Linked DNA regions of Struthio camelus. The protein of the gene in region 1 interacts with the protein of each later gene in a pairwise test. Links are inferred from orthologs where the notes say so. Each region holds a gene or a part of one and is shown in the gene's direction. Other genes may lie near its edges.

Region 1 (7,361 bases):
AGGTCTATGCGGTGCAGCTGGCAGAGCTGGTGTGCGCGGTGCTGCCTGGCGGGCGAGGAATGCCTGGAATGGTCTTGGAAACAGAGAAGAAAGAGGTCCTTAAAGCCACCTGCAGAAGCAAGCGGGGCTCCCCGCAGAACTCGCAGGCAGGCTTTCTTGGTCGAGCACATCCATCTTTCCCAGCCTGGGCCAGGTTTCCCAGGGAAAGCCCTTGCCCTGGTGCTCATTAGTGAGTCTGTGTAGGGCAGAGCAGCACCCCCATCTTGTGCCTGCTCAAAGCCTTGTCCCTCACACCGCCCTCTTCAGGGCTCCTTTTTCTCTCCCGAGTGGCCTTGTGCTGCTTAAGCGTTTGCACATATGTGAGAGACAAGGTGCAGCCAGACCTGCAGCTCCCTACGCTGTCAGCACTATATGCTTATGATACGCTGTGGGCCTTACAGCCAGCGATGGTACAGGTATGATAGAGGAAGCCATGGTACTTGACTCCTCTCCTATGAAGAAAGGCTGAGAGAGCTGGGCCTGTTCAGGCTGGAGAAGAGCAGACTGAGTGGCGATCTCATCAACATGTACAAGTATCTGAAGGGGGGGTGTCAAGAGGATGAGGCCAGTCTCTTCTCCGTGGTGCTCAGCGACAGGACAAGAGGCAACGGGCAGAAACTGAACCACAGGAAGTTCCACCTAAACCTGAGAAAAAACTTCTTGACTGTGAGGGTGACAGAGCACTGGAAGAGGTTGCCCAGAGAGGTAGTGGAGTCTCCTTCGCTGGAGATATTCAAAACCCACCTGGATGTGATCCTGGGAAATATGCTCTAGGTGACCCTGCTTGAGCAGGGGGGTTGGAGTAGATGATCTCCAGAGGTCCCTTCCAACCTCAACCATTCTGTGATTCTGAGATTCTGTGACTCCACCGGGCAGGGGGGGCACAGAGCCTGCCAAAGTGGCACGTCTTATTCAACAGCCGGAAACTGGTTATCAATACACAAGATTTCCTCCCTCTCATTTGGCTCTTCCTACAACTAAGTCAGCTTTTTCCAAACAATTATTCTCCATGGGATTGCAGAACTACTGACAACACTGCGCAGCATAGTCCGATACCTGCCTGTTTTTTCTTCACTTACCTGTAGGCTGTAAGAGACAGCAAGTGCTAGAAAAGTGGTGACACCCTCTCTCCTCTGACCGCTGAAAACTGCCTTCTGTTCAGCTTGCTTTTCAGCCCATTCACTCGGCGCTGTGGCAAGATTGGAGCACAGCTGCAGCTTCTATGGCCGTCTGCTGCACTTCTGGGGAGCTTCAGATGTGCACAAGTTTTCAGGCAGATGAATGTCACGCTGACCCATAGAGATGTTTTTCATAACTTTCCCTTCTACCTTTGTAAAATATGTTCTGCAGTTTTATCCCAATGCAGAACAAAACTGAGTGTTGGAAGGAACAGAATTTCTCGCAGGAGAGAAAGCAAGAGCCACTGTTTGTACTGGAACCCCAAACTTCAGCTGAGATGCAGGAAACTGTTTGCTACGGCATTCCCTGCTTGCAACTTTAATGCGGACGGATTTGGAACCGAGGATTTCAGGTAGAGCACGGCTTGACATAAAAGCGAGGGAACGTGCACTACAACTAATAAGATTTTCTCCTTAAACTTACAGGGATATCAAAAAGCTGGATTTGGGCCTTGAATTTCCAAACTGCGGCCCATTGCTGCTTGGAAACTGTGTGGCTATTCTCCAAAGCAGTCTAAATACGGGCTGCAAATATTGTCACAAATATGACAGTTTCCATCTAATTGAGGTAGACCCCGCCAAGTTTTCTTGTTCAGATGACCAGAAAGATCTTGCAGTTGAAAACAATGGAAGAGAAAGTAATGAAATCAGGGTGAACCGCGCGGACTTCCATATATGCCACTGAACTCAAATAATGCCTCTTACGTGCTTAGCAGCGTGGTTTCAAACAGGCAATTGAAAAAAAAAGACATGTTGGAGCTGGAAAAACAAAAAAGTTGCACCAGTGCAGAGCCCCGGGTGGTGGCTGCTGCGAGAAAGCACAACGTTCCTGCGGGTCCACGCTCGGAAGCGGTCATTTGAAGCCACCTATGAAAAAAATAAGCCTCGTACGCTAGCCTGAGTTGACCTGTTGGGCAGTCGTGGAAAAGCCTCTTTTCTGCTCACTTTTCATGCTCGCTTTCAGAGCTACAGGGGCCTGCTATGTCTTCACCTCGCAGGGGAAAGCAGGGAAGCAGCCTGGGTAGCCACCAAAGGGCCCCTTGGCCCAGCTAAGGGGCTATCAGTCGAGCGCCGCTGTCAGCAAAAGCGTTCCTCCGACAGCAAGCACGCTGCAAGTACGCTCGGCAAAACCTGTGGCGTGGCACGGGAAAGATTAAACAAATCTCTCCTTTCCTCCTCGAGCCACCTTAAATTTCATACCCTGTAGGACAACAGCGCCCTCAATAGCTGCTACAGGGGTTTTCTCCTCTCAGAGGTAAAGAAAGGCCAGGTTTCTTTCTTAACTCCCAGGCTTTCATTCGTATTTGTTCTGCTTCTTTGTTTCCTTGATTGCTTTTCAAGAAAGCTTTGAACAGTTAATACAATTCTGACAGAAACAGAAATGCTCTCTTATTACAGAGGCACCCAGAGGGCTGGTAAATATTACACTAGGCTTGTGCCTCAAAAGTGACTTTTTTGCTGAAAAAGCCCACCAGCCCATCCCAAACTTTCCATGGATAATGGGCCATTTCCAGGCCTATAAGGGCCCTATCCTAGGAAACCAAACATACAACTCCAGGAAGAATATGCTGCTAAATTTGTTCGGTTCTCTCCCCTGGGAGTGGTTTAAACCCAGCTGTTCCTCATGTCCTAAAAATGAGGCAAATTTTCAAAATCTCTTCCTCTGAGGTAAATTCCCAGCAACAGCCCTATTGCCGTGCAGCCGCTGAGCAGCTCTACACCATGTTTGGGGAGAAAGCAGCAAAGCACGGACGGTACACGACAGGTTCCCGCGGGATCCTGCACCCCCGGCTCTCTCCAGGGCTGATACTGATTTTGGGCTGCTCACTCACCTTCTGATAATGAACAGCACATACAGGTAAATCCAGCAGCACACTGAATTTATCCCAACGGCCCCGGCCACGATTTCTAACTGTGGTGGCTCAGGTTTTCTGACTGTAGGCACCGTCCTACCAGGAAGAGAGAGAGGTGGGAGACCAAGACACCAGTCCTCAAACGAATCCCGATTGCCTCTCTTCCCAGCATGGTGAGGTTGCACCTGTGCCACAACTCTGCAGAAGCCTGCAGACCAGGGGCACCGTCGCTCTGCTAAAAACCCCCCATCCCATCTTTTTCCCGGTGGTGAGTGAGGTCCCTTCTTTTTCCCCTGCTCACCAAGGTAACATGTTTTTTTTAGAAGTGCTCGGGCCTCTGCCTGCTCTTTCTGACCCTGAGGCTGCTCAGGTGGCTCGCAGGGCCACCTGCTATCCCAGCCGGACATCTCCCCGCTCCCGGAAATTCGGACCGCACGGCTAGTTTCAATCTAGCTCCCACCAGGACAAGTTCTGCTCTGTAGGGGAACATTTTTTGAGAGGTTGGAAGCTTGCCAGGTGACGTTGGGGGCATTTCGGGTAAGCGCTGCCACATGGGAGGGACACTTAGCCCCCCGGAAGAGAGGGGCTCGCGTCCCCTCGCCTGCCCAGCGCCGCGGGAGCAGCCTCCGCCCGCGCCCGAGTGGCCCCAGTGTGGGTAGGACGAGCGGCCCAGGGCGACGCGCAGACGGACAGCTGTATTCGATTTGGCCGCTCTCTCCAGAAAGGCAGGCTGAGCCTTGAGGACCGCGCGTGGCCCTCCTATCTGCTGATGGGGCCGTTTATCCCCCGGGGGCAATCCCGACCTCCGTTAAAACTTGTTTAGCTCTCCGTAGTCTAATCCCCTCGGCCAGCCTGCCTCCTCGGGCCTGGAGGGCTGCTCGGGAGGAGGCGACCGGCTCGGCCCCGCTCACGCCACGTGCTGCGCGAGCCCCTCTCGCTGCCGCCGCCTGACGCAGGCAGTTTGCCAGGTTCGCTGTTCCCCCCGCGGAAAGGTGCTACGGACGGAGGCGTTAAGCGTCAGCTCGCCTGGCGCGCACGGAGACGCTTTTAGGGACTTTTCCCCGAATGCCGGGGCAGGTTTTTGGAAATGAGCAGGGCCACCCCCCAGCCCCTTTCAGCATCTGATGCCAGACGACTGACGAGGGACGGGGAGCACAAGCCGGACGCGGCGACAAAACGCGACGAGCGTCGCCCCCAGCGCCTGGGCGGCCCCACGCGCGCGGCGCCCCCGCCCCCCACGCCGCCTTGGCCCCGCCCCCCGCCCTAGACGCCCCGCCCCCCACCGGCCCGGCCCCTCCCACCACCGCCGCCGCCCGCCCGCCCGCCGCCGCCGCCGCCGCCGCCGGCGGGAGCAGCCTGGCCGCGCACGCAGCATGAGCAACCTCCCCGCCGAGCGGGACGGCGGCCCCGCCGAGCCCGGCCTGCCCGAGGAGGAGGTAGCGGGGTCCTGGGGGGCGGCGTGGGGTGGGGACGGGGACTCCTCGCCCCTCTGCCGGGCCGCCGTGGCGGGGGGGAGAGGTGCGGCTGGAGCCGCGGCTCTCCGCGGAGGCGGCGGCGGCGGACGCGCGGGCTGTGACACGGGGGCATCCGCGTTGGCCCGGCCAGAAAGTTTGAAGGGGGCGGTGGGGGTGACCGAAACAGGGCAAACCTCTCGCATCGGCGAGCGTGAAGCCGGGGTTTGGGGTTTTGGGGGGGGGGGGTTATTTTTTTGTTTTTTTCCCCCCGCAAGCGTCCGGGAAGGGGTTATTTGGCCGCGTCGTCCCAACAAAGTTGAATTTGCCGGCTGAAGGCGGGCGGAGCGGCGGGCAGGCTCCGGCGGCGCAGGGCAAAGTGGTGCTGCTCGACCCCTTTGGAGCTGGGGCAGGAGGGCCTGTTTCCTCGGCCCCCAAAGCAGCTTGGGGGCCGCTGAAGGACGCGGAGAGGTTAGGGGGAGGGAGGCGTGTGGGGAAAAAATGCACCCCGGCCTTTTGTTGCAAGGCGTCGGACACCGTCAGGACCGTCCCTGCCCCAACCTGGTGGTGCTGAGCGTGGTTGCAGCTGAAGGAAACTGCTTTGGGACCGCGCCGGGCCTGTGTGGGCCAAGGGCAAAGGTGCTGAGAAAGGAGGAGCCGCGTCCCTAGGGCTTTGTCTTGCCCGGGGAGGGGTGATGGCAGCAGGTGCCACCAGGGCACGAAGAGAAGAAGGGGATCGGCCCCAGGAGCGTATCATAGCGGGCTTGGAGAGGGAGGACGGACAGGTGGTACCGTGCGGTGCTGGGTTCCTGCTCTGTGCTGCGAGCGTGGCTTTAGGAAGGGGCCGGTTGCTGGTGCTCGCAAGCTGGGCTCCTTTCCCACCATGGCAGGTCCTTCCCGCACCTGCCTCCTCCTGTGCCAAGCCGGCAGGTACTTCGCTGGCACAAGCTTATACCGGCGCCGGCTGGAAGCGCTGGCGCTTGGGAGTATTTGCGTAAGGACGCTCGGAGCGGGTTGCCTAGCCACTGGGTTGTGCATACCTCTCCCCTTCCTGGGAGGTCATGCCGGAGGGCTTTTCTTTAAACTTTGTGCCCTCCCTCTCCCCCCGATGCTGTGTTTTACCCCAAAAGAGGAAGAAGCAGACCCTGTCTTGAGGCTGTAGATCCTGTGCCGGGAAGGCGGGAGGTCGGGGCATGTGGGCTCCCACAGCAGGGAAACCCGCAGGCTTTCCGGAGGTTAAAGCAACGGTGCTGCGACGTGTGATGGGCCCCCGGTTTCCGTGCGGGTCTGGCCCAGAGCCTAAGCCGACGCTCGGATAAGTCCGGCCAGTTCTCCTTTGTCTTCCCGGGGCTCGCGGGAGTTGCTCCAGCCTCTCCTGGCAACGGGCAGGATGCGTGGGGCATCCCCTTCCCTGTCGCTCCAGCCCCGTTCAGCGCTGACTGGCGTGGGTGAGCCGCGGGTTGGAAGGTCCCGGCAGAGGAGCCTGGCAGGGGTAGAGCCGTTGGAAAAGAGGTCGCGTAGCTACGGCCGGGCGAGAACGGCATGTAAAAGAATAGACGGAGGCCTTATTTGGTAGCGGAGCAGCTCCAGGGAGTCCAGCCCTTGTCTCCATGGCCGTGCCAGCTCCCCCAGCGCGGCTCCCAGCACAGCGCGGCTGGGCTGGTGGAAACGCTGCTGGCGTTGCTGACTGTATCGTCCCAGGAGGTTGTGGGGGGCTCGGGCACGGGCAGGGGGCAGCCAGGGTGGGGAGAGAAAGGGTGGCACGAGCAGGGCTAGGCACCCCTGGGGACGCTTCCTAGCGGGAACATCTCCAGCAAGTCGGTAAGCTTTCCCTGCGCAGCCACCTCGCCCCGTGGTGGAGCTACGAAGACTTCCCTTTATCTTGTCAGGAACTGCCTGTGGTTCGGCGTCGCTTCCCATGTACTTGTGCTTCCCTCCCTCCTTTAAGAAATGCCCGGTCTCGAGGATTTGGGAGGAAAGCTCCAAGCAATGACACAATTGTGCATGACCTCAGGCCCCAGCCCCGGCCCGCAATCCAGCCTCTCTGTTGCAATCTCCCATCTGCTCCCTTGGCTTCTTGCTTTCTTTTGCTCACTTCCTCGTTCCAGCTTCGCCTCCGGAGCAGCTCCCCCACATTGTCCTCAGCCCTCGCTTGACTTTGTTTTCCCAAACACTGCTCCTCTCCTTGCTTTCCCTGCCTACCCCAGCAGTGGTTTTGTTGGTGATCTTGAGAAGCGGCTCCAGGTTGTGGAGCTGGAGGTCTGAGCGGAGGGAAGGAAAGCCCAGACCTCCCTGTCTGGAAGAGGTCTGTGCTCGCTCTCCTGCGTGGCCTGGTGCAGAGCATGGAGCCCTGTGCCTTCTCCATCCTTGGCGCCGTGTGGACCCAGGTGTGCCACACGCAGGCCTGGGACATACGCGGTGCCACTTGCAAAGCAAGTATCTCGGGCCTCATTGACTGAAGTCTTGTTTATGTCAGTGAGTTTTGTGGGCTTGTGACATGCTTACACAGAGCCCGGTAATCTAAACCAAACCGAGGGAACACTCCATTAATGGAGAGAGTATTTACGTAAGGGCTAATCCGCGCGGGGCTGGAATGCACCCCGCTGCAGGGGAGCAGGGGCAGCGCCGGCCAGGGCTCCTCGCCTCTCCTCCTCCTGCCCCAGCTCCGTGTTTAGGGCGCTTTTCCCTTCGCTGGGAGGAGGGGGTGAAGTTCCACTTTCCGTATTTTAGGGCTTTATCTCAGCCCTAAGCCAGCGCGGTGGCCTGGAACGGATTCATCTGCCTCCTCCTCCTCCGGGCCCGGCTCTGCTGCCACGGCGCTCCCCTCCCCTCAGCCCCCC
Region 2 (7,388 bases), on another chromosome or scaffold:
CACTGCATTTTGATTCGTGTGCAACTCTTCCCTTCTGCTTTACCGCAGGGCAGCAGGTCTTCAGCTGTTAACACCTGAGCACACCGACTGTGCAGTGACAAAGGTTGCCTGACTTGCATATTCTAACAAAGACACTTATGACAGTTCAGTCAAAATATTCCAATAGCATGAGGAAGGCTAACAGTCAAAAACACTTTTATTTAATAAATACAGTATTTGATTAAAAACAGCATCCTTGGGTAACCCAACAGTCCAGAACAGCAATGTCACAAAGCTTCAGTTGCAATGTCAGGTAAGTTTTTTCTGTCACGTCCCTGCTGTTACAACATCTTGAGTAAGAGCAGTATGTGAACAATACAAGACAATAAGGCAATGTGGCTGCTCGCGGTAGCACAGCCCAGCAAAACAAGGAGAGGTAACAGCAGCCCCCTCTGATGCCCAGGAGCACGTATGGGTGCCCTTTCTCTCCACAAATGGAATGTGATGCTTTTGGGAACAAGCAATTAGGAAGATCTGCAACCAAACTTTTCTGCATTTTGAAAAATAACTTTCAGGACTAAACTTGGCAGGAAGATAAAAGCAAGAAGACAGCCCAAACTATGAAAACACTCGGTGTCTGGGCAGCAGGTCACCCGAACTGTTCCGAGAACAAACCAACTCTGGCAGCACGTGTCTGAAGCGCAGCCTTTTAAGTGTTTCTTCCTAGGCATAGTTAGGAACGTACACACAGGGTGGTTGAGCAATCAAAGTTAGATATTAACTGGAGTTCTAGGTTTTGGGCAGCTTTTTTTTTTTTTTTTGGTAGTTTGTTTTTGGTGGGGGGCAGTAGGGCATCTCACTTCATCTCTTGAATTCTGTGCTGGTTGAACTGCTGCCTGATGCTCAGCACAGGGGTGAAACAGGGCACAGGAAGAGGTTAAATATGGACACACACGTGTGCTCACTCGCTTGCTCACTCTCTGAAACCTCTGTCAGCCCTTGGTCAATTCACTGCTGGGGTTCCCAAACGTAAACAGCTGCGTATTCACTGACTTTCCAATTTGCCTGATCCATGGAGGGATCCCACCAGAAGCAAGTTCTCACCAAGCTATTTACATGACTTTGCAATGTGAAAATTGGCTCTTTTCACAGCACTGTTTTAGCCTGAGTGGGAGCATACAACTGTTACCAGGAAAAAAAAAATCATTACCCAAAAAAGCACATTTGAAGCTTGGTGATGAAGGGCGAGCGTCCTGCCACTTTAAACTGTTAACATCTTGCTTCAGAATCTGTATCAAGGAGTATGTGAAAAGCTGCAGTTAGGCAAACTCGCCTGAATTTTATGTATTGCCTCATCTTCAAAATGAGCCCCATCTAAATTGAGATTCCTCAGCTGGGGGAGTGCTTGGCACAAAGCAACAATGGCATCAGGGGAGAACTTATCACAGAGGTCAAGGCAGAGCGTTTCCAGGCACTTCAGGGTCGCTAGGCAAGCCAAACCTGCATTTGTCAAGGAATAAGCATTGCTGATCTCCAGCAGTCGGAGACATTTCATATGGCGCCCAATGAAACGAACAGCGGAGTCGGTAATGACGCAGTGGCGCAGCACAAGGCGCTCCAGCCCCCCCAAGTACACCGCTGCTCTCTGAATCCCTGCGTCTGTTACCCGGTAGGTCCCAGACAGGGTCAGCGTCTTCAGATGAGTCTGGGAGGAGACGTTTAGCAGATGCTGGTCGCAAAAGGCAGGGACGTTCCGGACGATGAGATGCTGCAGCTGGGGCAGGGCGCTCGCGGCAGGGCCCTGGAACCAGGCAGCAGGGATTTCGCAGTGACTCAGCTCCAGCGTCCTCAGGGAAGCAGGCATGCTCTGGTAGGGGAGCGGGCGGAGGTCGGCCTCGGCCAGGCACAGCCGGCCCAGGCGGGGACACTGCCTCCCGAGGGCGGCCAGCAGCGCGGGAGAGAGGATCTCGTGCTTCCTCGCCGAGCACAGCGCGCCCTTCACCTTCAGTGTCCGCAGGCCGTCGCGCAGGTGCCGCCGCAGCAGGTGCCACAGGGTCCTGGAGCTGACCTGAGCGAGAAGGGAGTCAGGCCTCGCGCGGTGGCCCCCAGTCCCTACCGGGCATCCTCCAGCCCCTGGCAGCCCCCAGTCCCTACCGGGCATCCTCCAGCCCCTGGCAGCCCCCAGTCCCTGCTGGGCAACCCCAGCCCTCACCAGGCAGGCCCTGGTCCCCACCGGGTGGCCCCCGGCCCTGTGCAGCCCCCGGTCCCTGGCAGTCCCCAGTCCCCACCGAGCATCCCCCAGACCCCGGCTCCAGCCCCCACCGGGCAGCCCCCAGCCCCCGGGCAGCTCCCGTCCCCACCGGGCAGCCCCGGGCCCCGTACAGCCCCCGGCCCCCATCAGCCCCCACAGAGCAGCCCCCGGCCCTGGGCAGCCCCGGTCCACCCCGGTCCCCGGGAACCCCTAGTCCCTACCGAGCAGCCCCCGGCCCCGGGCAGCCCCCAGCCCCCGGCTGCAGCCCCCGGTCCCCCACCCGGTGCGCGCTCAGGTCCACGTGTCTCCAGAGCGCCCGGTCCTGCCCCAGGCGCCGCCACCGCCGACAGACCCTGTGGGGAGAGAGGAGGCCGGTCACCGCCGGAACCGGGACCGAGACCCGGCCCCGGCCCGGCCCGGCCGCACCTGCCCGCGCGCAGCCGGTCCCGCAGCGGCAGCAGCGCCAGGACCTCCAGGAGCACCGAGTCGGGCAGCGCCGCCAGCCCGGCGCCCGGCGCCCCCTCCGCCATGGCAACGGGCCGCTTCCGCTTCCGGCGGCCGCGCTTCCGCTTCCGGGGCGCGAGGGCACCCGCGACTTCCGCTTCCGGCGCGGCGACTTCCGCTTCCGGCGGGGCAGTCGTCAGCGGCGGCGGAGTGGCCTGCTCGGGTCTCCTCTGCGCGGCCCCCCCCTCGCAGCCCCCGCTGCCGGCGGCGCCTCTCTTCCCTCAGGAACGATGATCGAAGTCGTCTGCAACGACCGCCTGGGCAAGAAGGTGCGGGTGAAATGCAAGTATCCCCGGGCTGGGGCCGGGGGGCGGCGGGTGAGGGGGGTGGCGGCGGCTCCTCCCGGTCCCGCTTTCCTTAACGGCGCCGCCAGCACCGAGGACTCCATCCGCGACCTGAAGAAGCTGATCGCAGCGCAGACTGGGACCCGCTGGGACAAGATCGTGCTCAAGAAGTGGTGAGCGGGGCGGGCGGCGGCCGCCGCTCCTCGGCCAACGGCCCCCTCGGCGCCTGGCCCGGGCTGGGGTGCGGCCGAGCGGCCCCCGGCTGCGCCCTAGCGCTGGGGGAGCCGGGAGGGGAATCCCGGCCCGTTTTGGGGTAGCGTTGCTTGGCCGGGCTGTCACGGGCGGCTTCAAAACCACGCTAGGTCTCCGCTGCTGCCCCTCCATGAGGGGGCTGATGGGAGCAGGGCTGTTGGGGAGGCTGAGGCTGCACCGCTCCCAGGGCGTCTTCCTTTGCTTTAACCTGTGGGGGGGTCACGTGTGCCAGACTGATCTCCGTTTCACGATAACTGCAGGTACACGATCTTCAAGGACCATGTCACGCTGGGAGACTGTATCCTTCTTGCTGTGGTAGTCTCAGTAAGGTTTCTCTGGGGAAACTTCCCAGTTAAATAAGAGATCGAGAACATTTACCGGACGCGCAGCCGGAACGCTGGAACAACGCGCGCGTCAAACCCAAGCAGGCAGCGTGAGCAGAGAGGAAGCGGCTGGGCGCATGCAGCGCTCGCCCTCCTTCCCCGCTGCTGGCAGCCCTGGGGGTGGAGCACGTCCCTGACAAGTGTTGTTTGGTTTGGGACGTTGTACAGCAAGCCAAAGGCAGCGTGGGGTGCAGCTTAGCGCTGGGGGAAGCTTGTCGGGGGCCCTGCGCCAGAACCACCTTAACTTGCTGCTTCAGATGAGATCCACGACGGCATGAACCTGGAGCTCTACTACCAGTAGCGGCGGCTGCCGCGCCGTCCCCACTCCCCGCCTGGCCTGGCTGATGCCTTCCCTCTGTTCCCCTCGCGCGGCCAGCGCGCCGAGCGCCCCGCATTCGTGCATGGAGGCAGTAGATGTGCTGTAGCCTCTCGGGAGTGTTTTGGCTAGTTTGTAATAAACATGTCCCTCGACGTGTCCCTCTTGTCGTGCTGCGGCTCGAGGGGCCGGTGCGGGCGGGCGCCGGGGGGGGGGGGGGGGGAAGCGGGCGCGCTCTGGGATCTTTTGTGCGTCGGCGGCCGCCGTCCGGCCTCCTGTCACGTGCCCCGCGATCGCTTCCGGGAGCAATGCGGCCTCCCGCCCGCAGCCAATCAGTGCCGGAATGGTGCGTGCTTCCGCCAATGGCGCTGAGGACTCGCGCACGAAGGAGGGACGTAGCCCACGGCTGGGCCAATGGGAGCAGAGCGGGGACGGGGCGTGCCCGCCCCCCGCGCCAATGGGGGCCGGGCCGGGAGAGGTCGGTGCGGGAGGCGCAGCTGCCGCGGCCGAGGGAAGATGGCGGAGGAGGAGAAGCTGCCCGCGGGCTGGGAGAAGCGCATGAGCCGCAGCTCCGGTACGGGCGGCGGCAGCGGCGGCGCTGAGCCCCCGCGGGGCGGGGGGGCCTTGGGGGTGGCGAGGGCCTGGCCGGGGCGGGGGGGGGCTGGGTGTCTGAGGGGGGTCTGGCCGGGGGGGGCGGGGTTTTTGGGGGTGTTGAGGGCTGGTTGGGGGCTATGAGGGTAGCCGGGCGGGGGGGATTTTGGGGGTGTTGAGGGCCTGGTCATTGGGTCTGAGGCGGCCTGGTTGGGGGGGGTGGATTTTGGGGGTGTTGAGGGCCTGGTCATTGGGTCTGAGGCGGCCTGGTTGGGGGGGGTGGATTTTGGGGGTGTTGAGGGTGTAGTCTGGGCTGTGGGGGGGGATGGTTGAGAGATGGGGGCTCTGGGGCAGGTGCTGTGAGCTGGACTTTGGGGTGGGTCTCGAGAGGTTCTCGAGGGGTTGAAGTTCAGGCTTTTGGGGGGGGGGTCCTGAAGGGTGCCTGACTCTGGGGCTGCTTTGACTAAGATGGTGCCTGACCTGGGGGGAGGGTTTGGGCTTTTGGGGGTGAGGGGCAGCTCCTATGTCCAGTGGGATGTTGATCTACAAGGGGAGATGGAGCGTGATTTCTGGGAGCTGGGTTGGGGTGAGGGATGTGCTGGCCCTGCACCCCTGGGGGGAGGGTGGTGCTGGCAGCTGCTCCGTCCCTGTGTAACTGGCGGGGAGGCCTGGGGATGGGGGGATTGAGCCCAGCGAGACCCTTGTCTGAGAGCCCCCATCGGAACATGCAGGATGTCTTGCCTTCAGTGTGGCTGCTGTGACTTTGTAGCTCGAGAGCAGAAGTCCTTGGTCAGGATGGCGTTTTCAGCAGAGTTTTTGTCCTTTCTAGTTAGAGCTTTCCATGTTATGGGACCTAATGGCTCAAAAGCAGTTTTTAGGATGCTGTGTTCTCATGCTTGACTGTGGGGGAGATGAGTCCAGGGAGGCAAAGCGTGGAAAGGGAAGAGGTGTCTGTGTGACGCCTTCTTTGTTAAAACTGCGATGGTTGAAGTGCCCTGGCGATAGGGAGCTTTGTGATTGTGTGGAGTTGTCAAGTCTGGGTTGTTAGTGGCCTCCTGGAGGGAGAAACACGGATGACTGTATGGCACTGGTTGGGATTGCAACCGGGGAATTGGGCCCTTTGTCACTACAGCATGACTTCCTACTGCATAGTAAGTTAACCACTGCTGTTGCATTCCCCCTCCCTCGATTTCCTGGCAGAATGGGCTTTTTTTGTGAGTCTTCTGTGGCTCTGGTTTCACTGGAATGCTTTAAGATGAATGCTGCAATAGAAGTTGGAAATCATCTTGATTACAGTTGTGAATTATTGCAGATAAATGAACATGTAGCTCTGAGCCAACACTGGAAGGCCTTTAAGCAAGTGGTGCATCCCTGTCACTGGATGACAGTATTAACTGGCTTTGTTTTAGTGCTGAACGTGGTGTTTTCATAGATGATTTAATCAGAACTTTACTTTCTGCTATGAGGGGGAAGGCATGAGCGTTTTGTGTGGGGAGGTCTTGTTTTCTGGTAGAAACAAAAAGTGATTTTGGAATTGGGCTTTTCTGAGCAATACAAAGACAGGACCTTTGGTAAGGGTAATTTATTGCATTTGCTGCAGCCTGTGCTAAATGATGCACTTAACCGAGAGGCTTTACCTTGTTTCACCATTGCAGATAGTGCTAGAGTGAAATACAACCTTATATCCGCACACCAGAGACCTAGCACCGATCCCTAGCTGCGCAGGGGCAAAAGGGCAGGGTTCCACCGTGTTACCGCGTGCCTCCTTAGAGGATGTGTTGCCATCGCGTGACTGGGAGCTGACTGCGCTCCTTGCTTTCTTAAGAATAATCAACACTTCACATAGGCGAACTTGTGGTCTAACCCTGGCCGCAGCGGCAGGGTGTTGTGTGGGAACGTTTGTTGTTCTGACTGGAGCAGTGGGTGCTTTTGGCCCTGATCTATGGGAGCTTCATGACTTGCCCTAAATTGGAAGAGCTGCTGGAGTCTGCTTCTGCGCAGAGCTGTTGCTTTGACTAAACTCGTGTTTCCATTTGTGTAGGAAATGATGTATACAGAGCTATAAACTACTGTGTGCGATACCATGTTTTTACTGCGCTGGCATTGATAATCTGAACACGGCCGACCACAGTCTCACCTACTTGCAGAAATCTGGTCTTATCTGTCTAGTGGGCCTTGAAAGAAGCTAGTTCTAGGGGTCTGACAGGAGCTTTTTATAACCCTGACGCTCTCTTTCTGTCTGCAGGCCGCGTTTATTACTTCAACCACATCACAAATGCCAGCCAGTGGGAACGTCCCAGCGGCAGCGGAAAGAATGGCCAAGGGGAGCCCACCAAAGTGCGATGTTCACATCTCTTGGTGAAACACAACCAGTCCAGAAGACCCTCATCGTGGAGGCAGGAAAAGATCACGCGGACCAAAGATGAGGCACTGGAGCTTATAAATGGCAAGTAAATGCAGGAGAGAGAGAAAGAGTGATACTATTGTAGGGGAAAAGTCATTTTAAGGCTTAGAACTGAACCCTGAGATGAATGGTTCAGTGTGTCGTGAACTCTCTAAAGCAAAGTTTTTGAGCCAAGTGGTTTGAACATGGACTTTCGTGTAGCATAGCCACTTGGAGAAACAATTTTGCTGTATGATTTGCTGGCTGTGATTAAATGACATAGTCCTACCCCATGTGCCTTCTTCCCCTTATGTTTTTTGTAATGTTGTTTCAGAGGTTTGCTTGTATTTTATTTGTAAATGTGTATTTTTATATTAAAAATAAAGTAATTATTTAAAGCTAAAACAAATGTTCTTTAAACATCTCTTTTTGTTTAATATGTCAT
Region 3 (6,714 bases), on another chromosome or scaffold:
TCTTCAAGGTACCGGGCCCGGGCTCCGCCGCCCGGGGCCGCCCGGGCTCCGCCGGGGCTCCGCGCCCTCCACCCGCCCCCCGGGGCCGCCCGCCGCTCCGGCCGGAGCTGGGCCGCGGGCAGCGCCCCGGCAGCCCCGGACCGCAGGGCACCGTCTGCCCCGCAGGCTTGGGCCGTCTACAAGGGGAAGTACCACGAAGGCACGGACAAGGCCGACCCGTCCACCTGGAAAACGCGCCTCCGCTGCGCGCTCAACAAGAGCACCGACTTCCAGGAGGTGCCCGAGCGGAGCCAGCTGGACATCTCCGAGCCCTACAAGGTCTATCAGATCGTGTCCGACGGGGCCCGGGACGCAGGTAGGGCCCTGGGGCCTCTGCTGGGACCGGGCTGCTTCAGAGTCGTGGCTGGTGTCTTTGCCGTTCCTGTACGAGCCCTGTGCCCCACGGGTGTCACCGCCTTGGGCCTTCCTCCCCGGTCTCTTCCTCTGCGGTGTCCCGGGCCAGGCTGGTCCGCAGCCAGCGGTGCAGGGAGCAGCCGGGTTGGGAGGGAGGAAGCCTGAGGAGCAAACCTGGCCGGTGCCTTGGCTGGGCAGAGTCACGTCGCCCTCGCACAGCCTGGCTTCTCCGTTAGCTCCCCGTCCGCTGCTGGGGCAAAGCCCCTCCAGCGCTCCCCCTTCCCAAGAGGAGCCAATCCCGGGGGGCATCCGGACACGGGGCAGCTCCTCCGGCTGCACCGGGTGGCTGCCGTGCGGTCGGAGCTGGGTTTGCTGTGCCCGGGATCCCGGCCAAGGGGGGGCGCGGAGCCCCAGCCTTCGCCTGGCAGCCAGGCACGTTCCCAGGCGGCCGCTCCTGCTCCCGCGGCTGCTCTCCGTCGGGAGGTCAGCGCGTTTTCCCATGCTCTCTGCAGACAAGGATGGCAGCACCGAGTCGCCAGCCTGCAAGGACCAGCGGGTGAGCCAGCCCCCGGGCGCCGCATCGTCCACCACGGCCGTTAGCTATAGGCCAGAGGAGGTGGGAGCCGGCTGCCCGAATGCCCCCTCGCCCGTCAGCCGTTCCCCTTCCCGCGTGCTCCCACGCGCCGGTCGATTGCTCCTTCGCCCCGTCCCCCGTATGGCCCGTCCTGTCCGTCCCTGCTCGTCTCGCTCACGTTCGCTCCGCCACGGACGGCTGCGCTCGGGGACCGCGGCACCCGGCCTCCCCGGCTCCGCCGCTGCCCCGCGTCCCCCGTGCCCTGCGGGGTTTCTCCCAGGGCTCGTAGCCCACTGATGTTTCCATCCATCGGTTTCCCTGCGCATCCGTTTTTCCCGGCTGGGGGTTTGCCGTGTCCATCCGAGTCCCAGGCTGAGCCCCTGTGGGAGTGCCGCCGCGGTCCTGGGCGCCTCCGGGAGCCTTACGGCAGCACGTTCATCCCACTCCCGAGCGTCGTCGCGGGTGCCCCCGGCCGCGGGATTTGCCACCGCGGGGTGGGGGGCCGGCAGCGGGGCAGGAGCCAGCTCAGCTCCCCTCGTTGCCGGCTCCGGCCCCGGCCTGTCTCACCGGCGCCGCTCTCCTGCGCAGGGCAGCGCCGCGGGGAACCTGGAAGGGGAGAGCCGGAAGGGCGCGACGGAGACGGCGCCGCCGCTGCCCCTGGCCTCTGGCCACCCGGCGGACCGCGGTAAGGGAAGAGCCTCCTTCTCCCTGAGCCTGTCGCTCCCCGCGCGGGCGGCTCCCAGGGCACGAAGGGCGGCTTCGCCCCAGCGGGCGGCTCCCGATCCGGACCCGTGTCCTGCGGGCGCCCGGGAGCGCCCAGGGGAAGGGAAGCAGCAGGACGGGGCCGGGGGCTCCCTGCCGCCAGCCCCGGAGCCAGTCGCCCGCTCCGGCACGGGCGGGCTCTAACGAGAGCCAGCAAACGAGCGGCAGCGGGAGAGCCGCCGCGGAGGCGCGTGGTGCGGAGCCGGCGGGCGGCCGCCAGGGCCCCTTTGCCATCCCGCCCTCCGCCCCCGCCCAGGATACCACGTGCGGGGCGTTTTCTACGGCTGGAACCCGGCCCCCGGCCACCTCCTCCCGGGCCCCCCGTCCTACGTCCCCGCCGAGGACATCAACCACTCAGGTAGGAGCCGCGGCTGCGCCCCCCGCCCCCAGGGACGCCCCTTCCCCGCGAGCCCGGAGCCGGCGCTGCAAGCCGGGCACCGGCCCCGGCCCGGGCGAGAAGCACCCCGGGATCGGGGCTTCCTCCGGGTCTGAGCCGAACTGAACCCCGGCTTCCCCCCCGCGTAGCCCTGCTGAAGGGGGGGTGTAGCAGACCTGGGCTCCCATAAGGGACCCTGCTGCGCGTTTGGCAACCGGGCGCGACGGGGCGCCGGGCGCTCCGGTGGGTTCCCGGCCTCCTGTCCAGCTCCTTCGGGAGCCACCGCGGCTCCTTCGCTGGGCGTCCCGGGCGCTGACCCCCCCTCGCCCAGACTGCTGGCTCCACGTCCGCCTCTACTACTGCGACGTGCTGGTGAAGGAGCTGACGACGCGCACGGCCGAAGGCTGCCGCATCACCTCCCGCGCCGTGCCGGCCGACAGCGAGCGGCTCTACGGCCCCTCGTGCATGGAGCAGATCCAGTTCCCCCCGCCGCGGGCGCTGAGCGGCAACAGCCGGGTGGCCAGCATGACCGACGTGCTGGAGCGGCTGCTGCCCCACCTGGACCGCGGCGTGCTGCTCTGGGTCGCCCCCGAGGGCGTCTTCATGAAGCGCCAGTGCCAGGGCAGGGTGTACTGGAACGGGCCGCTGGCCCCGCACAGCGACTGGCCCAACAAGCTCGAGCGGGAGAAGACCTACAAGCTGCTGGACACGCAGCAGTTCCTGCAGCGTAAGTGCCCGCGCGCTGCTGCGGCTCCGGGGGGCCGCGCTGCCGCCGGCGAGGGTCTCGGCCCCGCTGACGGGGCCGGCGTCTTGCAGAGCTGCGGGGGTACCTGAGCCACGGGCAGCCCTCGCCCCAGTACCAGATCAACCTGTGCTTCGGCGAGGAGTACCCCACCAGCGCCGGCCACCACTTCCAGAAGCTCATCATGGCCCACGTGAGTAGGCGCCGGGGTGGGGGGACAGGGGAGCGCGGGACCGACGGGACGGGACGGGACGGGACGCGCGCCTGCGCCCGTGCTCCCGGCGGTCCGTGCCCCCGCAGGTGGAGCCGGTGTTCGCGCGGGAGCTCTTCCATCACGCCCAGCGCATGGGGCCGCAGCTGCTGCGCGAGGCCTCGCAGCCGTGCGCCCCCGGCGCCTCCAACCACGTCCTCCAGGTCCTGAAGCAGCTCTGCCAGCCCTGAGCCCCGCAGCAGCGCGAGAGGAGGGCCGCGCCGGCCCCGCGCCCAGAGCGCCCGGCCCCGCCGGCGCCCGCGGGGCCGCGGGAGCAGCACGCGGCGCGGACCCCGCGGCAGGGGCGCGCTGCCGGGCCGCGGCGTCCCCAGGGGCCGGAGCCGCGCACCGCCGTATTTATTCCCTGGAAGCTGTCGGAGATCCCGGCCGGGCTTCGGTTTGCTGCGGGCTTCTCTGTTTCGTGAGCGGGGGCCGCGGCGCCCTCGGCGCAGGCGGGGAGGCGCCCGCTCTGCCTTGGCGCCGCGGGGACCCGCCGTTCGGGCACGTTAGAAATAAAGGTGTTTTAGTACCGCAGGCTCCGAGTGTCAGGGGACGGGGGGGGTCACCGCTGCCCCGGGACACGCGCACGGTGGCACGCGTTGCGGCGGTGAGCGCGGGGTCGGCAGGCACCCGGCGCTCCTAGCCGGAGCTGGGCTTTCTGGCGCGTCCCCAGCGCCGGGCGGCTTTAGCGGGCCGGTGCTGTCGGCTGAGGTCTGGGAGGGCAGCAGGATCCGCCCGCCGCGCCCCAAACCCTCCCGTACCCTCTGCCCCCGCGCTGGGTCGGACCCATCTCGCACTCCGGCTCCTGACGCCGGGCGGGATGTGCAGGCAGCAGCGACGGCCCGTTAGCTGCCGACAAGCCGGCAGCCTCTCCCCAAGGGGCTCGCTGCCCCGTGCCTCAGTTTCCCCCGGGGTGAGGTGGCTCCTGGGATGTGGTTCGCGCGGCAGCATGGCAGGGATGTGCCCAGGCGGCAGAGCGTGGTGCGGGGCGCTGGCGTGGGGCAGGGACCTGGCGTGGTACGGGACCCGGTGCCATGTGCGGTGCCAGCATGATGCGGGCACCCCCCGTGGTGTGGGACCCGGTGCGATGCAGGACCCGGTGCCGTGCGGGACCCCATGCGATGCGGGGTGCTGGCGCAACGCGGGGACCGGGTGCACTGCAGGACCCGGTGCGGTGCGGGACCCACTGCGTGTGCGCTGCTGGTGCGGTGGGGGCACCTGGCGCGATGCAGGACCCCGTGCGGTGCGGGGACCCGGCGCGGTGCGGGACACGGCACAAACTGCAGGCTCGGGGCAGGGGCCGAGGCGCCGGGGGCAGGAGGAGGCGGACGGAGGGCGGCAGCCCCGGCCGGCCGGGAACGGGGCTCCGCTGCCTCCATCCTGCCGCCTTCACCCCGCTCAGCACCCCGCTGCAGGCAGGGAGCGCTGCCCAGGGCCGAGCGGCGCGAGCAGGAGCAGGATGAGCCCCAGGTGCAGCCGGTGCATGGGGCACTTTCCCACCGCGCGACCCGGAAAGTGGGAAGCGGGTTTGGGGAAGCCGGGCGGGGGGAGCGGGCGCCGAGCCCCGGGGCATCGGCCGAGCCGGGCACCCGCCTGCCCGCCGGCGCCGGCCCTGCCGCGGCGGTGCCGGGCCGGTGCCCACGGGCGCCCCGGCGGCGCGTCCGGCCGCGGGGCCCGGCGCCGGCCGAGGGAGCCCCGCTCCGCCCTGGGCGGCCCCGCGGCGGCGGAGAGGAGGGGCCCGCCGCCCCCTCGCCGGCCCGCGCGGGAGGCTGGGCCGCCGGCGGGTTTTAACGGGCCGCCGGCGGGGTCGGGCGGCAGACGCGGAGCGGGACGGCGGCGGGGCCGGCACCGGCCGGGAGGCAGGATGCAGCCGGACCGTCCGCGCGGCGGCTCGGCGCTGAGCCGCCCGCCGCCCCCCCGCCAGCCGGGCCCCTTGGGCGGCCCCGAGCCGCCGGCCGCCGGCGAGGCCACCAAGCCGCCCTACAGCTACATCGCCCTCATCACCATGGCCATCCAGAGCGCGCCGGAGAAGCGCATCACGCTCAGCGGCATCTACCGCTACATCATGGGCCGCTTCACCTTCTACCGCGAGAACAAGCAGGGCTGGCAGAACAGCATCCGCCACAACCTCTCGCTCAACGAGTGCTTCGTCAAGGTGCCGCGCGACGACAAGAAGCCGGGCAAGGGCAACTACTGGACGCTCGACCCCGACTGCTACGACATGTTCGAGAACGGCAGCTTCTTGCGCCGGCGCCGGCGCTTCACCCGGAAGCGGGGCCCGCGGGACGCGCCGGAGGGCGACGGGGGCCGCGGGAAGGCGCCCCGGGCGCCGCGCTGCCGGGGGCCGCCGGCCGCCCCGGGGCCGGAGCGGGCCGAGGCGGAGGGCGGCCACCCCTCGCCGGCGGCCGCGGGGCGGCTGCTGAGCCTCGACGAGCTGGCCGGCGGCTCGCGGCCCTGCCGGCTGCCGCCCCGCGCCCGGCCGCCCTGCCCGTACCCGCCGGAGGCGCCGCCGGCCCCCCGCCAGCCCGCCGAGACTGCCTTCGGGGGGCTGCCGGCGGCCCCGCCGCCGCCGCCCCGGCCAGGTCAGTACGCGCTGCCCGCCGAGCGGCCGGCCCCGCTGCCCGCCGAGCTCCGGGACGTGGCGCCGGGCTCCCCGCCGCCCCCCGCCTCCCCGCCGGGCAAGGAGCCGCCGGCCCTGGGGCTGGGGCAGCCCTTCGCGCCGGTGCCCGCCGTGTTCCCGGGGCCGCTGCTGGGCGCCGGGCAGCCCCCGCCGCCCTGCTTCCTCGAGGGCGACGGCTACAAGGCGCCGGCGCTGCCCGTCTTCGGCTCGCTGGGCTGCGCGGGGCCCGAGGCGCTGGGCGGCAGCTACCAGTGCCGGGTGCAGGCGCTGAGCTTCTGCGTGAACGAGCCGTGCGGCGCGGCGCTGGAGCAGCTGCTGGCCGCCGCCGCCGCGCCGGCCCCCGGCGCCCCGCGCCCACCGCCCTGCGGGGCCGGGGGGCCGCGGGCGGCCGAGCCCAAGGAGCCCTGGCCGGGGGGCGGCGGCGGGGGCGGCGGGTACCCGCTGGGGCTGCCCCCCTGCCTCTACCGCAGCCCCGGCATGTTCTTCTTCGAGTGACGGACTGGGCGCCCCGCGGGCTGCCCCGGGGCCGGGGCCCGGGAGGAATAAAGCTCGTGTCCCAAGCGCTGCCTGCTGTCGTCTCTGCGCCCGGCGCGGGCTGGGGGAGCGGGGGCTCGGGGCCTCCCCGGGGCCAGGACGCCCGGCGTCGAGGCTGCCGCCGTGCATCCGGGACCGCTCGCGAGCGTCGGGCCGCACGTGCCACGAGCAGCACCGGTCTCAGCACGCGGCCCTGCTCGCGCGCCCCGGGAGCTCCCCGGAGGGGGCTCGGCAGGGCGCCGAGGGGCTGCGCTGGGACGGGCGCCCTCCCTCCCTGCTCCGAGCCGTCCTGCTGCCGGGCGCCCGCGGGCGCCGCGGGGTGCAGGGGACCCGGCCGGGCCAGGCACCGCTCGGCCGCCCTGGGAACGGCCCGGCCGGCCGGGAGAGCGGCTGCCGCTTTGCGGGATTCCTGGGACCTGAATCATCCCGGGCGGCTGCCGGTGAGGAGGCACCGGCTGAGTCA
Region 4 (7,528 bases), on another chromosome or scaffold:
AGCACCCGTCCCGCAGCCGGACCCGGCACGCGCTCCGGGCGCGTCCTTGTCGGCGCATCCGTCAGCGGGAGCGCTGGGGCCGGCGGCGAGCTCGGAGCAGCGGTTTCCTCCTCGAGATAAAGCGATTGTGGCCGGGGACGCACAAGTCGGCTGGTTCCATGCCGTCCTCCCCCCCCCCCCCCAAAACGGGGCCCGATGCCAATCAAAACACATGGGACCACTGAGGAATGAAACGCTGCTCCCAGACGGCCTGCTAACGCCCCGCGCTGCAGCCAGACCTTTATCTGGGGAATTGCTTCGGAGGGAGTATAAATCAAGGAAAACTCGAACCGGTCACTGCAGGAGCCAGAGCCGTCCGCGCTGGCTCGGCGTGGTGTTTGTTTTGAGCCGCATCTGTCCGCAAGGAACGCGGGGCGGAAAGTCACGCGCGTTGGGCGCTCGTCTCAGCACCGGCGGGGCCATGAGATGGTGGGAAGGGCTGTGGCGAGGGTGGCACGGTGGTGGCGGATGCCGCCGCTCCCGGGGGCATCGCCGCCTTTCGCGGCGCCCGTTGCTCCCGTCCCTGCTCCCGTGAGTGTGCGATTTGGGGAGCGTGCGGGGATGCAGCGGGCGCCTCTGCCTCAGTGCAAGCCCGGGCTGTCGTGTTCGCAGCCAGCCCGCTGGGCATGTGCGGCGTGGCCACATTAGGAAGGGTGCCCGTTTGGTTCCTGCCGAGCTGGGAACGGAGGGGTTTTTCTTCAGTGCCAGCTCTGGCTCCGGGCGCTGAGGCCTCAGGTGTGGTGCTGAGGTGAGGCGGCCATGTTGGGTGCTGAGGCGGGGCAGCCATCTTGGGCACTGAGGTGGGGCAGCCATGTTGGGCACTGAGGCAGGGCGGCCATCTCGGGGCAGCTGTCTCGGGCACCCCCCCGGGCACTGAGGCAGGGCCCAGTGGTGGCGAGCAGGAGGGTGGCCACAGCAGGCTGGGGCCCTTCCCGCCCGCGGTGTAAATAGGCCCCTCGCTCCCGCGGCGGCCGGGCGGCCTCCCCCAGGTGCGGCTGGGAATCATTAGGAGCGCTCCGCGCCGGGCTGAGTGTGGGAACTGGAAGAGAAAGCGGGAGAGAGGCCTTCTTTCATCTCCCCCACTCCCTCCTCCCCCCCATGTCTGCCAAGCCTGGCTTCCTTTTGAATCCTTTAGCTGGTGCCAAGCAAGGGAGAAGGGAGGGGGGAATAAAGAAAAAAGGGGAGGGAAAAGGGAAAATTAAAAAAAAAAAAAACCCACAGGAATGTGTCCAGGGATCTGGCTTCGTTCAGGCTGCCGGGCCCTGAACGCCCCGGCGCCCCGCTCGGGGAGCCGGAGGGAGGGAGGCCATGGCCGCCCCCGCGGCGGCGGAGACAGGGGGAAAACAAACAGGGAAGCGGCGCCCGCGCCGGGCCTGTTGCCACAGCGACTGGCGAAGGCCCGGCGGGATGTCTGCCGGGGCCCCCGCTGCCGGAGCGAAAGCCCTCGGCGTCCGGGTGAAGCCGGGCCTCCGTTTCATCCCTGCCCGGCCGCGTCGGGGCCGCACGTGGGGCCGGGGCGGGGGGGGGGGCGGAGAGGCTGAGGGGGGAGCGGAGGCTTTTGTTGCTCGGGCAGGATGGGTCTTTGACTGCCGACTTTGTTCCCGGCAAATTAATAATTTCCTCTGGCAGCAACAACATCGGCCTGCGCGCGTCGGTGTCTCCCGCTGCCCTCCCCGGCGTGCACGGAGGGGCCGCGCCGCCCGCAGCAGGCTTCCTCCGTGCCTCCTCCTCCTCCTCCTCCTCCTCCTCCTCAGCTGGGCTCCCAGCTGTGCTTAACTGTCAAGCTCGGCCCAGCTGTGACGGCTGCTGCCTTGGGAGCATCCCAGCGGGGAGAGCGGGGCTCGGCGTGCGAACTGCCGACGCGAGCGCTGCAGGCGGCGGGGGGAAGCGCGGCCCCGGGAAGGAGCTCGCGGGTTCGCAGCCCGCCTGGCAGAGAGCACCGCAAAACGCGGGAGCTCGCAGGTGAGGGCGCCCCTCCGCCTGCCTCCCTGCCTGGGCTGTTGGAGAGGCAGGGCAGCCCCAGCACGAGCCGAGGGGCCGCGAGCGGAGGAAGGATTTTGGCCTCGGCAGTAAATCTCCCGGTGGGTGTCGCACGCCACGCCTGTTAGCACCCACAAGGGAGCGCGTATAACAACTGCTGCGTGGCTGTGCACGCTTGCGGCGTGTGCATGCTGCTCCTTGCAGCGCTAGCCCCTCGCGCCCGCGCCGCCCGGCGTGCCACGGCTGCGCGCCCGCCGCAGATGCGCTCCCATTGCCCTGCAGCCCGTTCCCACGCTGCCCGGCCTCCGTGGCTGCCTGGAAACGCGCACCGGTGCTTGCGTGCCCGCCGGGCCGCAGCTATGGCTCCCTCTCTCCGGTGCGGGCGCGCAATATGGCATGCGATATCAGGAGATCTTCTGGGAACGCAGTCCGTTCCTCTGACAGCATTGTGTTTTGTTCCTTATTTATATCCCCGGGGTGGTGCCACAGGTGGGCAATTGTTCCAGCTGACAGCCTGAAAGGCAAAGAAACAAGATTTAACTTCCTGCTATTCAATTAGAGAAAGTGAGCATTCATCACCAGCTGCTGGCTGCTGGCAGGAACAGACCCACCCGCCGCGGCGCGCTCGGCGGCCGGAAAGCGGCCTGCCGCCGCGGGCACGGGGCGCTCCGGCGCGGCCCGCCTGCGGGCGCTGCTCCCACGGGACTCCCTGGGTAGGGCTGGTTGCTGTCTCGTGCCAGAGCTGATGCTCTCGTCTCCTGTGTTTGTTTTTTGGGAAGGAAGTGACCAGTTCGAAGTGGCCCACGACACCTTGCACGTGCCAGCATGGTACTTTACGCAGCCGTGCAAGGAAGGAGAGCCGGGTTTCCGGCAGGCCGGGTTTCGTCACAGGACGGTAACGCGGACCCTGGCTGCTCACCCGGCCTCTGGGTGCTTGAAGCTCATCTTCCTTGGGCCAACAGATGCCTGCGGGTGAGGTGCAGGGCCCCGGATGATCCCTTTCCTTATCAAATAAGGACCTGGAGCCTTCCTGTCCCTGCTTCCCCCGGCGCGTGCTCGCGCTCCCTCGCGGTGCCTTCCAGGCTGGCGAGGAAGGAGGGAGCACGTGCTCTCGCCAGCTCTGTCTGGCAGCAAAACCTGTCTCCACCTTCCCCTGCGCTGACTCCGCGCCGCCCGCGAGGCATCTGCCCCGTGCCCGCCGCTCGCTGACGGGAGCCTCGGTAGCTGCCGGCGGCCGCGAGGAGCCCGGGCTTTCCGGGGCTCCCCGGCACTTTCAGGCGCCGGGTGCCTAAGGCCAAGCCTGCGCTCGATCCTTTTGCATCCCGAGGCCGGTCCAGCTGGAGGAAAGGCTCCTGCTGCCTCCTCTCTCCTGCTCCCTTCCCGGTACCATCTGTCCCTAGCGCAGTGACAACTTCCCCTTCTCCGCGGGGACTCGGGGTATCTCCCAAGCTGGTTGCGCTCATCAGTGGTACAGCTGGAATCGGCGCTGCGCGGCTGCGCCGAGGCACACGCACGCGTTTGTGTTCGCGTGCCTGCGCGCGCGCGCGCTGGCTGCCGTGCCAAGCGGCGCAGCGCTGCGAGGCGACAGGCGCCCTGTCGGGCAGGGCTGAGCTGCGCGCGGCACCTCGCACGAACATGCCGCGTTCCTCCAGACTGAGGAGGGAACAGGCAGCAGCCAGGGCGATCAACAGCTATCAGCCCTTTCGGGAACGGGCCTTGAAACGCTGCAGGGGCTTTCCTGTGCGTGCCGACTGCCCTTCCTCCGGTCCCTCGGAAGTGAGGCGGGTTGGACATGCCAAACCACCATGGTGGTCGTGCCGGAGCGAAACCTGGGGCCTCCTGTCATTTCCATGGGGCTGGGAGGGCTTGGGGGGGGTGTCTGCGAACCTGGGGCCTCCTGTCATTTCCATGGGGCTGGGAGGGCTTGGGGGGGTGTCTGCGAACGTCAAAGGCGCGCGTGCACCGAGCGCGTGCTGTCGTTTCCTCTGCAATGCCATCTGGCCAGCAGCGACGCAGCCACAACCAGGGCTGCGGGCAGAAGAGCGTTTTACAACAGAAAGCAATTAACCGAATAAAGCCCTTTTTAAAATCCAGTAATTAAAAACAGTCCCTCCTCCTTGTTTTCCCCTTAAGCTGAAAGTTGCTGTTTACTCATTTGCTTTACAAAGTGTGCCTTGTTGTGGCTTCAGAAGAAATGAAAGTTTGAAGTGGTTAGAGAAGAAAGGCTTTGGGGCCGGTGGGCCGGGGCAGGGCGGAGGGGCAGGGGCTCTCCAGCCCGCCTTGTTTGTGTTTGTTCTTGTCTACTCGCAAGATCGCTAAACACACATTTAACAAGTGGTGAAACTGTCTACCAGCCTGATCTCTCCCAGGGTTCATGGGAAGAGGCCTGGCACATTAGCATTGCTGGGGGACGGGGAGGGGGAGGCCAGGCCTTTTGAAGGGTTGCTGTTTTGGGGCTGAGCGAGGGAAGGGCTCCGAGGGCTGGCAGAGTCGCAAACAAAGGCGTTGTGTTCCCCCAGCCCCCGGGGACCGGCCCGGGGCAAGGCCGAGGCCTTGGCTGCACCAGCGGATGGGTTTTCCCAGCCGGCTCCCGTTGCTGCTTTAGCATCCACCACCCGCGTCCTTCCAGCGCCTCCCGCCCCGGCGCCCAGAGAGACGGGACTGGCACCTCCGAGGTCACCTCAGGCTGCCCGGGACAGCCGGGAGCCAAGACGCCCCGGCGGTCACACAGACCACGTCACCCTCTGCAGCACCCCAACGTGAGAGAGGATCAGCCCCGTGTCCGCCAGCAGTAAGTTCCCGGGCCCTGTCCGTTTAGCCGCCGGGGAGCCCGGACCTCAGTTTGGGCTTCTGGGGGAGCCCGTAACCCTCGCTGTCACCGGGGTTGGTGCAACGTTAATTCTCACTCATTGCTGCTTCTCTGCTGGCCACCGAGTGCCCGACTGGTGGGTTTGCACCATGGCCGTCTACCTTATGGACGGGGAAAGCACTGCCCGGCCGGAGCCCCCGTGGGGGCAGCAGCGCCTCCGGGGCACGGTGGGCCGAGGGCCCGGCAGGTGCAGCCCGGCGGCGCCCAGCCCGCGGCCCCCGGGCCGGGCCGCGCTCCCGGCCGCAGGGCTGGGCGCAGACCGGCCGCGGGGTGATGGGCGGGAGCGCGCAGCCCAGCCGTGCCAGAGTAGCACCGGGTGGCAGCCGGGCTCAGATCTGCCCTGTGCCTGCCTGGGGAAGGGTGAGGCCATGGGTTTGTGGGAAAATGTTGTTTTTCCCTCCCCCGGACTGCCCCTAGCCGTCGGCTGGGCTGGCTCTGAATTGCGTGGGCCGGGGAAGCGGGGCGGGGGGGGGGGTTCGCAATTGTAGTGCCTGTGGCTTGGCCCGGAGCCACGGCAAACAATCCTCTCCTGGCCGCCCTCCAGATCTGACAAAACACGGAGGTGATAGCGTATTCGTACCTACACGCTTTCATCCCGAATCACCTCCTGGAAGCCCTGCCTGTTTCTCCCCTCTGTGATGAATCCCTCCGCTTAGCCGCAGAACAAGACAGCCTGTCCGCAGCGCTGCAGCCAGGAATCCTGTCCAGCATCCCTGCGAGGCCTCCGCTTTTGAAATTACAGCTGTGGATCTGGCAGCCAGCGGTGGGACCTGAGGTTAGGAGGTGATGTTGACTGAAGACGTGCGGACAGGGCATTCCAGGCATGCACGGGGTTAAATCAGAGGTGTCAGTTCACCAGGAGGTAACAGATACGTCCCGCTCGCTGCCTCCCGCTTTCCAGAAGCGTTGCCCTCCCTCCCACATTCCAGCTGCTGCAGCTTTTCACAGCTGGCCGCTCTCCGGGGACATTTCCCAGAGCCCAGCAGGCGGGAGGGGAGTGAGGAGCGAGGCCACGGTCCCAGCGCAGGGGTGGGTGGCTGGGCTGACCGTCCTTCCGGGCTGAGGAGCCTCGCGCTGGAGTCCTTTACCCCCGGGAGAGGGCTGGCACAGGCAAACCTGGGCAATCCCAGGTCCCTGGCAGGGATCCACCCTCCGCCCTGCCCTGGAGAGTTTTTCCTGCTGCGGGGAAGGGACATCAAGCTTTGCAAGCTCACTTATTCCTTGGCCTCCAAAGCGGGGTAGCCAGTTAGCGCTGGGTGAGATGGATCGCTTGGCCTCGTACTCGTGACACCCATCCTCGGGAAACGGCTCCCACCACGTAAGGGCACAGCCAGCCGTGGCGGGGACAGCTCTCGCCAGCCTGCCGGGACCGCAGCTCCTGGCTGCCGCTCCGCAGCACGCTCCCCGGAGCTTTCCCTCCCGGGTCGGGCCGCGTTTGCCGAGTCCTGCTGCGGCGAACTAGAAGTAGGTGCGCTGGGGCTAGCCGCCGACCAGCTGGCTCCGCGACCCGCAGCAGGAGAGCCGCAGCAGTCTCCTCCAGGCCAGCCCACCTCCCGCACGTCTGCCCTGCCCACAGGTCTGAGCGGGAGCATGCAGCGCCGGCGGCGGCACGGGGAGGGCAGCCGTCCCGCGCGGCCCCGGGGACGCGGGAGAGGGTGGGCCACGGGGGAGGCGTCCCGTGGTGCTTGCTGAGTTCGTACAGGAGGGAAAACAGCCCTGACTGCCGGGCCAGGGTGACAGTTCAGGGTGAGGGGAGAGATTGCCTCTAATAAACACCCTTGCTTGGCCGAGCCAACCCTGCGGTACCCCGGGCAAGGGCAGAGGCTGGTGACCCACCATCCAAGGGACTGTGCTTGGGGCCAGGCTGTGCACAAGCTTGCCGTGGCATAGCTTGCCCTGAGTGCTTGGAGGGGAAAAGCAGGTGGGAGAAACCTGATTTCTGCACCCTCCCCACGGTGGTCCTTGCAGCCCATCTCCCCTTCCCCTGCACCAGGGCAGCCCGCTCCCCCGCGCAAGACCGACGGGCGATGGTTACTGGCACCTGGCTCCCCGATCACGCAGCTGATTCCTTTTAATCCTCCCCTGTCGTCTCCATGGCCCCGAGCGGGGAGCGGGCTCAGCCCAGGCTCCGTTTCGGCTGCTCCGCGGCGCTAATCCCGGGGTGGTTCAGATGGCTCTCGCAATCCCCCAGGGCTCGCTGGGGGCGATTATAAATGACTCTCCAGGAGCACAGGCTGGAAAATGGATCCGATTACAGGAGAAGTGGGTTTCAGGGCCCCTGCTCTGTTCATAATGAAGTGTAATCCTAGAAAAACATGTTGCCAATTACACTTCAATTGAACCCAGATAATGATGCTTAGGCAAGGCCCAGAAAAGCCTGAGTCTGGACAGTGAATTCCTTTCTAATGGAGAAGAAAAGTGTTCCTCTGTGGCAGGTCTGGGCTCCGTTTGGTTCAGGCTCGGCGTGATGTGAGCGAGAGCCTGAAATAACCAATCTCTGGATCCCATTTAAATGGTTTTATCAGTGGAAAAAGCATTAATCTCTCAAAAACACATATTTATGGGAAGTTTGGTTTGGAGATGCATATATATTTAACTGAAATCATTTTGGAAAGGAAGGAGGAGAGCAGACTCAAAATT

What was found.
Region 2: the proteins of RBPMS (region 1) and PIN1 interact in binary tests that used the Homo sapiens proteins (3 or more experiments, as listed by UniProt). The two-hybrid records come from large-scale screens. The link is inferred for Struthio camelus from reciprocal best matches to the Homo sapiens genes RBPMS and PIN1.
Region 3: the proteins of RBPMS (region 1) and FOXS1 interact in a two-hybrid assay, tested with the Homo sapiens proteins (2 studies listed by BioGRID and IntAct). The link is inferred for Struthio camelus from reciprocal best matches to the Homo sapiens genes RBPMS and FOXS1.
Region 4: the proteins of RBPMS (region 1) and HEYL interact in binary tests that used the Homo sapiens proteins (3 or more experiments, as listed by UniProt). The two-hybrid records come from large-scale screens. The link is inferred for Struthio camelus from reciprocal best matches to the Homo sapiens genes RBPMS and HEYL.

Annotation. Positions count from the first base shown.
Region 1 is NC_090945.1:5,907,824-5,915,184, reverse strand, and holds the start of RBPMS (RNA-binding protein with multiple splicing), read left to right. Parts: upstream 1-4,360; 5' UTR 4,361-4,443; coding exon 4,444-4,506; intron 4,507-7,361.
Region 2 is NC_090972.1:5,062,728-5,070,115, reverse strand, and holds the start of PIN1 (peptidyl-prolyl cis-trans isomerase NIMA-interacting 1), read left to right. Parts: upstream 1-4,384; 5' UTR 4,385-4,485; coding exon 4,486-4,543; intron 4,544-6,805; coding exon 6,806-7,006; intron 7,007-7,388. Other genes in the region: FBXL12 (F-box/LRR-repeat protein 12), read right to left, coding at 1,274-2,047, 2,452-2,583, 2,701-2,760. UniProt on the Homo sapiens protein: Peptidyl-prolyl cis/trans isomerase (PPIase) that binds to and isomerizes specific phosphorylated Ser/Thr-Pro (pSer/Thr-Pro) motifs.
Region 3 is NC_090959.1:18,560,308-18,567,021, reverse strand, and holds FOXS1 (forkhead box protein S1), read left to right. Parts: upstream 1-4,961; coding exon 4,962-6,212; downstream 6,213-6,714. Other genes in the region: interferon regulatory factor 4-like, read left to right, coding at 1-8, 166-355, 906-1,009, 1,556-1,652, 1,986-2,087, 2,437-2,832, 2,922-3,040, 3,148-3,288. UniProt on the Homo sapiens protein: Transcriptional repressor that suppresses transcription from the FASLG, FOXO3 and FOXO4 promoters. May have a role in the organization of the testicular vasculature.
Region 4 is NC_090964.1:8,092,868-8,100,395, forward strand, and holds the start of HEYL (hairy/enhancer-of-split related with YRPW motif-like protein), read left to right. Parts: upstream 1-4,528; 5' UTR 4,529-4,810; intron 4,811-5,432; 5' UTR 5,433-5,750; intron 5,751-7,528. UniProt on the Homo sapiens protein: Downstream effector of Notch signaling which may be required for cardiovascular development. Transcriptional repressor which binds preferentially to the canonical E box sequence 5'-CACGTG-3'.